Linked DNA regions of Danio rerio. The protein of the gene in region 1 purifies or fractionates together with the protein of each later gene. This does not show direct contact. Links are inferred from orthologs where the notes say so. Each region holds a gene or a part of one and is shown on either strand. Other genes may lie near its edges. The genes, in order: cep350 and cep43.

The links.
Region 2: the proteins of cep350 (region 1) and cep43 purify together in Homo sapiens (affinity purification with mass spectrometry; 6 studies listed by BioGRID and IntAct, counting the BioPlex papers as one, with this or other methods). This does not show direct contact. The link is inferred for Danio rerio from reciprocal best matches to the Homo sapiens genes CEP350 and CEP43.

Annotation. Positions count from the first base shown.
Region 1 is NC_133183.1:16,331,840-16,335,665, forward strand, and holds part of cep350 (centrosome-associated protein 350), read right to left. Parts: intron 3,408-3,826; coding exon 3,175-3,407; intron 1,149-3,174; coding exon 973-1,148; intron 797-972; coding exon 637-796; intron 1-636. UniProt on the Homo sapiens protein: Plays an essential role in centriole growth by stabilizing a procentriolar seed composed of at least, SASS6 and CPAP. Required for anchoring microtubules to the centrosomes and for the integrity of the microtubule network.
Region 2 is NC_133195.1:33,353,701-33,358,169, reverse strand, and holds the start of cep43 (centrosomal protein 43), read right to left. Parts: upstream 2,973-4,469; 5' UTR 2,955-2,972; coding exon 2,871-2,954; intron 2,335-2,870; coding exon 2,281-2,334; intron 1,114-2,280; coding exon 1,059-1,113; intron 1-1,058. UniProt on the Homo sapiens protein: Required for anchoring microtubules to the centrosomes. Required for ciliation.

The DNA.
Region 1 (3,826 bases):
AGTGCATACATGCTAACTGAATTCTGGGTTATGGGTTATAAAACTCTAAGTGCTAATTGTTTTTTTTTTTAAAGAAAATAAACCACAAATAAAACTCCTTAATATGTTTAAATTACCATGCATGTCGCCAGCGTATTAAGCATTATAGGTTTAACATACGAGTGCATACAAATACAACTATTGTCTTTGTAAAACCACAGTAGCATTAAACATTATTAAACATATTACAGTCTCCATAAGGATTAAAAGTACACAACTAAAACATTTAAACAATTTGAACCACAAAAGGAACAAAGACACCATTTCTCATGGATCATCATAATAAGTAGACTTGTCTGTGCTTTAATAACATGACTAAGTGGTTTGATCAAGAGAAGTGCACACCCAAAGCTGAACACCAAGCATTATATATTGTTGCCACAGGGTTCCTCCTCCATTTTGCATCTCCTATTTGTAAATATGTAAAGGGTAAACTGTTGCTAAATAATTAGGCCTAACAGGCATAGCCATAGAACTATGATCTAAATGTAAAAAAAACAAAGTAGTGTAATCTAGAAGTTGCAACCTAAAAGGAAAAGAGATCTTAACTCAATCCAGATAACTTCTAAAATCTGATAGGAGAATGAAGGATCTTACCAGACGGAGTGGCCGAATGAGTATCGCTGGTGTGGGGCTCGCTGGTCTTGGAGCCGGAGTGCACCTGCATCTTACTGCAACTGCTGGTGCCAGTGACAGTGCCAGGCCGGCTACTGTCTGAATGTCGAAGAGAGCTGAGGCTGGCTTTCCCTGGAGGAGACTGCAACACACACACAGGAAGAGGGATTCAAGGTCAGGACATGTAAAATCATACACACCACAGAGAGCTACAATCCACCCTGAGTCATGTCAAAGCACATTGAAAACAACTTTGTATATCTACAAATTTAGATAAGCATATCTACAAAACTACATTCTGTGCAAGACCATTTTTACCTGTTTGCTGTCCGTGGCAATAAACTCGGCTGAATAAAGGGCATCGACGACAGCAGAGTTGAGCTCAGAGACAGGCCGATCTGAGGACGGACTGCCCAGTTGCTCTGGAACAGACAAATCAGTGTGAACGCTGGACACAGACAACGCCACAGAGTCGTCATCTTCGCTGCCCGCTTCTGTGAAAACATACATGCATACAAGATGTAAGCGAAAATGAAAACCTTTACAGAGGCTAAAAGGGGACATTAATAATATGACAGAAGAGGCTGTGCAGTACTGTAATGCTAGATGTTAGAATCAAGGTAAAGCAGAGTTCCTAAACTCAGTTTAATCGTGACAAAAATGTTAAAAACTAATTTGTTTTATAGTATACAAACAGACAATTAAATCAAGAATTTCACCAGAATGGCCCAAAATTAACCACTTGCAGGGTTCATACTGATTTTTACTACTAAAATTTCAGGACCTTTCCAAAACTTTAGGTAAATATTCATGAAATAATGTTTCAAGTAATCTCTATGTACAGGTGGTGTATATAAAAAAAGCATGTTCAAATTTATTACAGCATATCAAAAAATATGAGATAATTTATGTAGTTTCTATTTATTTATATGTAAAATACTTTTTAGAAAGTATCTTGCGGTCTGTGTGAAAATTTTTAGAAATGTTGGCTTGTAAATTGGTTTATTTACAGATTCAATTCACGATGGGTTGGGATTGAATTTACAAGATGCTTTCCTAGAGTCTTATGCTCCCTACCATTTACTCAATGTACAAAAAAATCAACATCTGACAAGTGTTTTTACAGTAACAAATACTCCTTTGGTGTGGAAGGATGTTAAGAAATGTTTATCCATCCCAAATAAGTTGTGTTCCAAGTCACCTATTATGCTTGATTTTCCCACTGCAATACAGAATATTGGACTTTTGACTTGGAGATCAAGAGGATTGTCGGAATTGTGTTACCTATTCGATGATGGCCAAATAAATCATTTGAGAAGAAAGAAATTTAGTCTTCCCAGTAAAGATTTTTGTAAATTCCTGCAAATTTGTCACCTTTTAAAGTTACAGTTAAAAGAAGGTAATATCCAATTTTATTTTACTGAAATAGACAAACTGCTTTTTTCTTCATGGACGCTTAAAAGAAAGACCGTTGAATTATATACACTGCAGTCTAACATTGGTCCTTCAACCTTTGTCTCTTTAAGGGTGATATGGGAAAAGGATTTGGGGTCTATTTTTAGTGATGAGGAGTGGCTATCTGCCTGCTCAAATATCTATCCCAAAAGGACTTCAATTTCTGTTCATGAACAAAATTATAAATGTATTCACAGGATTTATCTAACCCCATCTGAACCCCAGTTCGCCTCCATAGAATATTTCCCAATTGTTCCCAGCTGTGTTTCAAATGCAAGATAGACATTGACACATACATACACACATATATATGGTCAACTGCTCAGATACCCGAGTATGTGGCAACCAGACTTCTACCACTAGAAAAAAACCTAGGATTTCCATCAAAGATCTGAGGTGTTTTGGCACATTTGGCTTTCCTTTTGGATTTTTCTTAAGGGGTACCCAGTGACTGTCTTTCTAAATTTGTTTTATAATCACTTTTTATTTTTGTCTTTGCTTTTGAAGCATTTGTATGCATTTGTTAGAATCACTAACAAAAAGTTCTGTACTTGTTACGAGATACCAGTACCACTGTTGATCTGTTAAAAATTAAATAAATAAATAAAATAAATGGAAATGTTGGCTTGTGTTTTAACAAATAGTACAAAATAGCCTTTAGCACCCACTATATCTTACCTCTTTAGTTAGAGATTGGTTAGAGATTGTAAAAGCAAGTTAAGCAGAGGCGAAGTTGAAGCTGCAAGTTGCTTTTTGCACCATGCAGGGAACGTCACATGAAGGCATGGACATCGCAATTGTATTTAAAATTTATCCAATATTATAATCTCAAATATATTCAAGTACACAAATGTTTGTTAAACAAATTTCCAAAACCTTTTTTTTTTGAGGCCTGGAAAATGCCTCAAAATTCCATGAATTTTCCAGGACTGTATGAACACTGTACTTGCCAAGTAAATGCCTATTTATACTCCAGTGTAAAATGTTAAAGAATATAAACTGATGTGACGTATATCATTCTTTAGAGGGCCATTCCTTCTCTATGTTTTACCACACACTCCTCACCTTGTCCTATGGGGCTTTGTCCTCCGCTAGTGTGACTGTGTTCATTTTCCCGGCTGTGCTGCTGCGTTTGGGTTCTGCTGCGTGGCTGCTGCTGCTTCTCCCAGGCCGCCAGAGCTTGTTTCTCCATCCGCCGTACTTCAGCCTCCTCCACATCCAGCCTCTGCCTCCACTCCAGAAGTTCTTCAGCATGTCTGCGCCTCTGCATCAACTGCTGCTCCCTTTTAGTGAGAAATCTACAAGGCGAGCGAAAGAGACAAAAAGACAGACAGGAGAGGCAGAAGAAGGAAAAACGAGATTGTGTAAAGCAAAGTGACACGATTTGGAGAAACCACCACAAAAGCAGGCAAAGCAGACGCTCAAAGAATGCCACTCACCAACCATCTTCGCACACCACATTAGTCTGCTTTTCAAAGCATTTATACCCATAAAACCTTCAAACAAACACATTCACACTCCAAAACATGCTTGCCAAAATAGACTTGGAGACTTGCATTTATTAAAATAGGGAAATGGCAATTGTGCATTTAACATATCCTGATCAGGGGAAAACTCATGCATCCGATGCAGTTTATGGGTAAAACACACAAAAACAACAACCTGACACACTGAAACACACAGGTTCCACCCAGGGTTTGACAAACAGTGTTACGCT
Region 2 (4,469 bases), on another chromosome or scaffold:
TAAAAGTAGAAAATCAGCAGCATCTCTTCTAAATAAAATAACTCTAGCATATACTGTAAATAATATTTTAAACAGTGCATTTCCAGCATCTTCTGTAAACAAATATTTTAATGTAAATAATAACTTTGATGTAGTGGAAAATATGCCGTCTTAAGTCATCTCTGGCGCAGCTTCCAATCCTCATCATTGTAGGGAAAAGTAAGGCTCAAGAATGGATCCATCATCCTACTTGACCAGAGATCAGAAGTGGCTGCAGAAGTATAAAACAGCCTTAACAGAGCGGGGTCACGTGACTCCACACGCAGTAAGGAAAGTAATTGAAAAAATTGACCTGGAAAAATTAGCGATTATAGGTTGTGAATGTCGATTTCGATTATTTTTCGATAAATTGCATAGCCCTAATTAACATGTCGTCCAATGACTCTTCATCTAAATATGACTGATAATGTTTTTTTTATATATAAACTAGTTTTACACTGAAAGACATGTTAGACTGATTCTTCTCTAAATGATGGTAAACATTAATAGTCATAATAAATATGAAATAATAAAACTCCTCTGGACAAATTTTAATAATCAAATATACAAATATGGTTCTTTGACTCATATTCAATATGCTATATTTTACTGCAGTATACAGTTAATGTGTTGCCAACTTTAGTTGCAAAACTGCTAATTAGATTGCTTTTGCAAATAAGATTTCATTATTTCACATTGATATGTTTGATGAAGCCTCCTGTATTAATTTTCATCTATTTAGCTTTATAACTATAATTCCATGCAGTTACAGAAAACCAAACATGCTTGACATTTTGAGACATTTGAGATTTAAGACCTTTTTCTTTCATGTCTCATAACAGAGACACGTTTTCCTGCACAAGAAAAGTTTTTTGTTTTCAGTTTTTTACTGTATGATGCTCCGTTTTCTCAGCAGGAATGTACAACGTCAGCAAGTTCACAATGCCTAATCTTTGAAAATGTTATTTTAATTGTGTAGATTTTTCCAACATCAACCACATTAAAACAAGAGAGAAAACATGAAAGGAATCCATACTCACCATCCTTTGTGTTGAGGGACTTTTTCAAGTTTTCATTCACAAGAGGGGTTTTATTCTATTCAAAAGAACACAAATCTAAATGACACACTGAATCCTGAAGTACACACACACACACACACACACACACACGTACGTACGTACATAGCCATAATAGAATTGTATTTTCTGTGAATTTACAGTTGTAGTCAGAATTATTAAACCCCCTGAATTATTACCCCCCGTTTATCCCCCCCCCCCCCATTTTTGTTTAACAGAGCAAATTTTTCAACACATTTCTAAACATAATAGTTTTAATGACGCATTTCTAATAACTGATTTTTTTATCTGTCATGATGACAGTAAATAATATTTGACTAGACATTTTTTAAGACACTTTTATACTGCTTAAAGTAACATTTAAAGGCTTAACTAGGTTAATTAGGTAAAAAATATAGCTTAAAGGGACTAATAATATTGACCTTAAAATGTTTTTTTTTTTTTAATCATAACTGCTTTTATTTTAGCTAAAATAAAACAAATAAGACTTTTTCCAGAAAAAAATAAAATACTATCAGACATACTGTGAAAATGTCCTTGCTCTGTTAAACATCATTTGGGAAATATTTAAAAAAAGAAAAAAATTCAAAGGGGGACTGATAATTATGATTGCAACTGTAACTACTGTTTATACTGAATTTATATTATTTATGCAAAAAAAAAAGTTGTTCTAACTTACAATATTTGTCTCGTTTCTACAAATATCTACATTTCAAAGTGAAAACAAGATTGATCTACTTTCTTCACTGGCAGATAATTTTGCTTGTTTTAATGAAAAACTCATAATTTTGACTGATCTATTCTGAAGTTAAAAATAAATACAATTTTACTTGATCTAAGAATTTTTTTTTTTAATATAGAAAACAGATAAAGCATAGAAAGAAAAGCCTTTTTGTATTGTGATTATTCAATTTCTATACCTGAATAGTGTTAGACTAGCCAGAAAACCGTCAAATCATGCTATTAAAACCATCTTGGAAATCTGTATTCATATAGCAATATTTATTGAAGAAAAAATAAAATACTGCAATGCAGTCCTAGACTAAATATTCAAAGTAGCGTGGTAAAAAATAAAGGGACTGTGTCATAAGTTGTCACTGAATGAATGTGCGAACATAAAACCAACTTTACCTCAAATTAGTAGTACTCAGTTAGCAATAGCATAACATAAACTTCTTATAATTACCTCAACTTTGTCCTGCTCCTCCAAGGCAAGAAAAACAGCTGCACGTAGCTCTGCCTGTAAAGCCAAATAAGCCTCTAACTCCATATGTCCAACATTCACACCGATTTCTAACAGTATTATAAATAAGCATGTGGAACATTTCACCTCAAAATTATAGCACCAGATAATGTCAATGAAATCAGATTTATATCAAATTGAAACAGACTATGTGTGGCTTGATAACATTAAATAACTTCCTTTATAGCCCAGTCAGTTTGCAAAACAAGTTTATTCGACATTTACTTAGGCAGATTTGCTGGTTGATATTTAGTATAATAATAACACAGCAGGAATAAACAGTGACACTGTGAAATTTCATCTTTATTAGTATGAATGAGTAAAAAACCGGTTACATAACTGTCATAACGCAATGTTGTCACACTAGGGTCTTCTGTTGTCCAGTTGTTGCCCATAACAACTTTAGCATCACTATGCTATGCTAATAACGTTAACCGTTGTGCTTGGAAAACAAAATATATCCCGTATGAGACAGAGGTAATTCTGTTGTCTACAAAATTTCAAAAGGGTCTCGAAATAAGCAGGGGAAATACCTTGATTTTATTCAAAACACCGCTGTTTTCCAAGTTTTGGATCAGTAGATCTCTGAGTTCCGTGTCCTCCTCCGTCGCAGACATCTTCAATTTGTGTCATGTGACTACATGCTGAAAACTGCGCGCCCTGGCGGCTATTAGCGACTTCACATGTTGATTCATATAACGCACCAACAATCAGAGATTTAAGGTTAGTATGCTTGGATTTGACAGCTTCAGTCCGTTTTGAAAAACACATTGACCCAGCCAGATTGTGCTGATTTTTAATTCTATAGACCTAATTTGACTGGATCTCGCCTGCAGCTCATGAATATTAAGAAGATAACTAATATTTATAAATGAAATATGATTGTAGTAGGTTTACACATCCACTCCAGGTAGACACAACAATGGCTAGTACACTGTAAAAAAGTTGACTCAACTTAAAATTCTAAGGCAACAAACATTTATATCTAAGGACATTTTTAAGTTTACGCAGCTTAAATCGAGTCAAGTGAAGTAATTGGGTTGAAAATTGAGTCAGCTAAAAAATGTCCCGAAGTTGCCTTAAAATTTTAAGTTAAGTCACCTTTTTTTTTTTTTTTTTTTTTTAACAGTGTAGTTAGCTGGCCTTAAGGGGACAAAACTGAAAATTCTGTCATCATTTAGGCTACTTATCCCCCAGTGGTTCCAAGCCTGTGTGAGTTTAGGTTTTTCTGTTAAACAAAAAATACATTTTGAAGAATGTTGGAAACTGATAAGCTGTCATCCATGGTAGGAAAAAACAAAACAAATACTATGGTATTCAATGGCTAGCAGTTGCCAACATTTTTCAAAATTATATTATTTTGTGTTCAACAGAAGAAACTCAGGTTTGTGACAAGTGAAGGGTAAGTAGCCTAAATAATGGCAGAATCTTTATTTTTGAGTGAATTATCTCTTTAAATGTCACTTAGTCAAAAAGTCAGCAGATAAACAAGGGATTTTTTTTTAATTACTCACTTTCAAGTCTTAAATGATACAGGTGAGAATTTTTCATTAGTTGATGATATAATGCAAGTTAATGGCATTGGCTAGCAGTACTTCCAATCAAAGATGTACAGAAAATTAACAAAGTAGTAGCCTACATTAAGCAGAACAATTGATGAGTTCAAGAATGTAAATGTTATTCCATCAAAATGATACTAGTGCATATCCCGAATTGAAGAAGAGCGGTGTTATCGCGCGCGTACTGAAGAGCGGTATTATCGCGCGCGTACTGATCAGCTGTGTTGTCGCGCGCCTACTGAAGGGCGGGACCGAATGTGTGCCGCGTCGCGGGGGCGCTTTTGATCATTTTGGAAGCGCACCTTCTATCCAAGACTAAAAAGGGCATGTGCACTGCACAGGTTGAGCCCTATGTGTGCACGTGCCTGTTTGACATGCCTGTGGATTAAAGGTAAATGAATAACACTGCATTGTTCTGTTTTTTCCTGCACAGATCAATTATTTTAATTATTAAAACTTCATCAGTAGACAGATATTTTGTTTTGCCTGTACAGTTGAAGTCAGAATTATTAGCCTCCCTGTTTATTTTTCCCCCAATTTTTGTTTAATGGAGAGCAGATTTTTTCCAACACA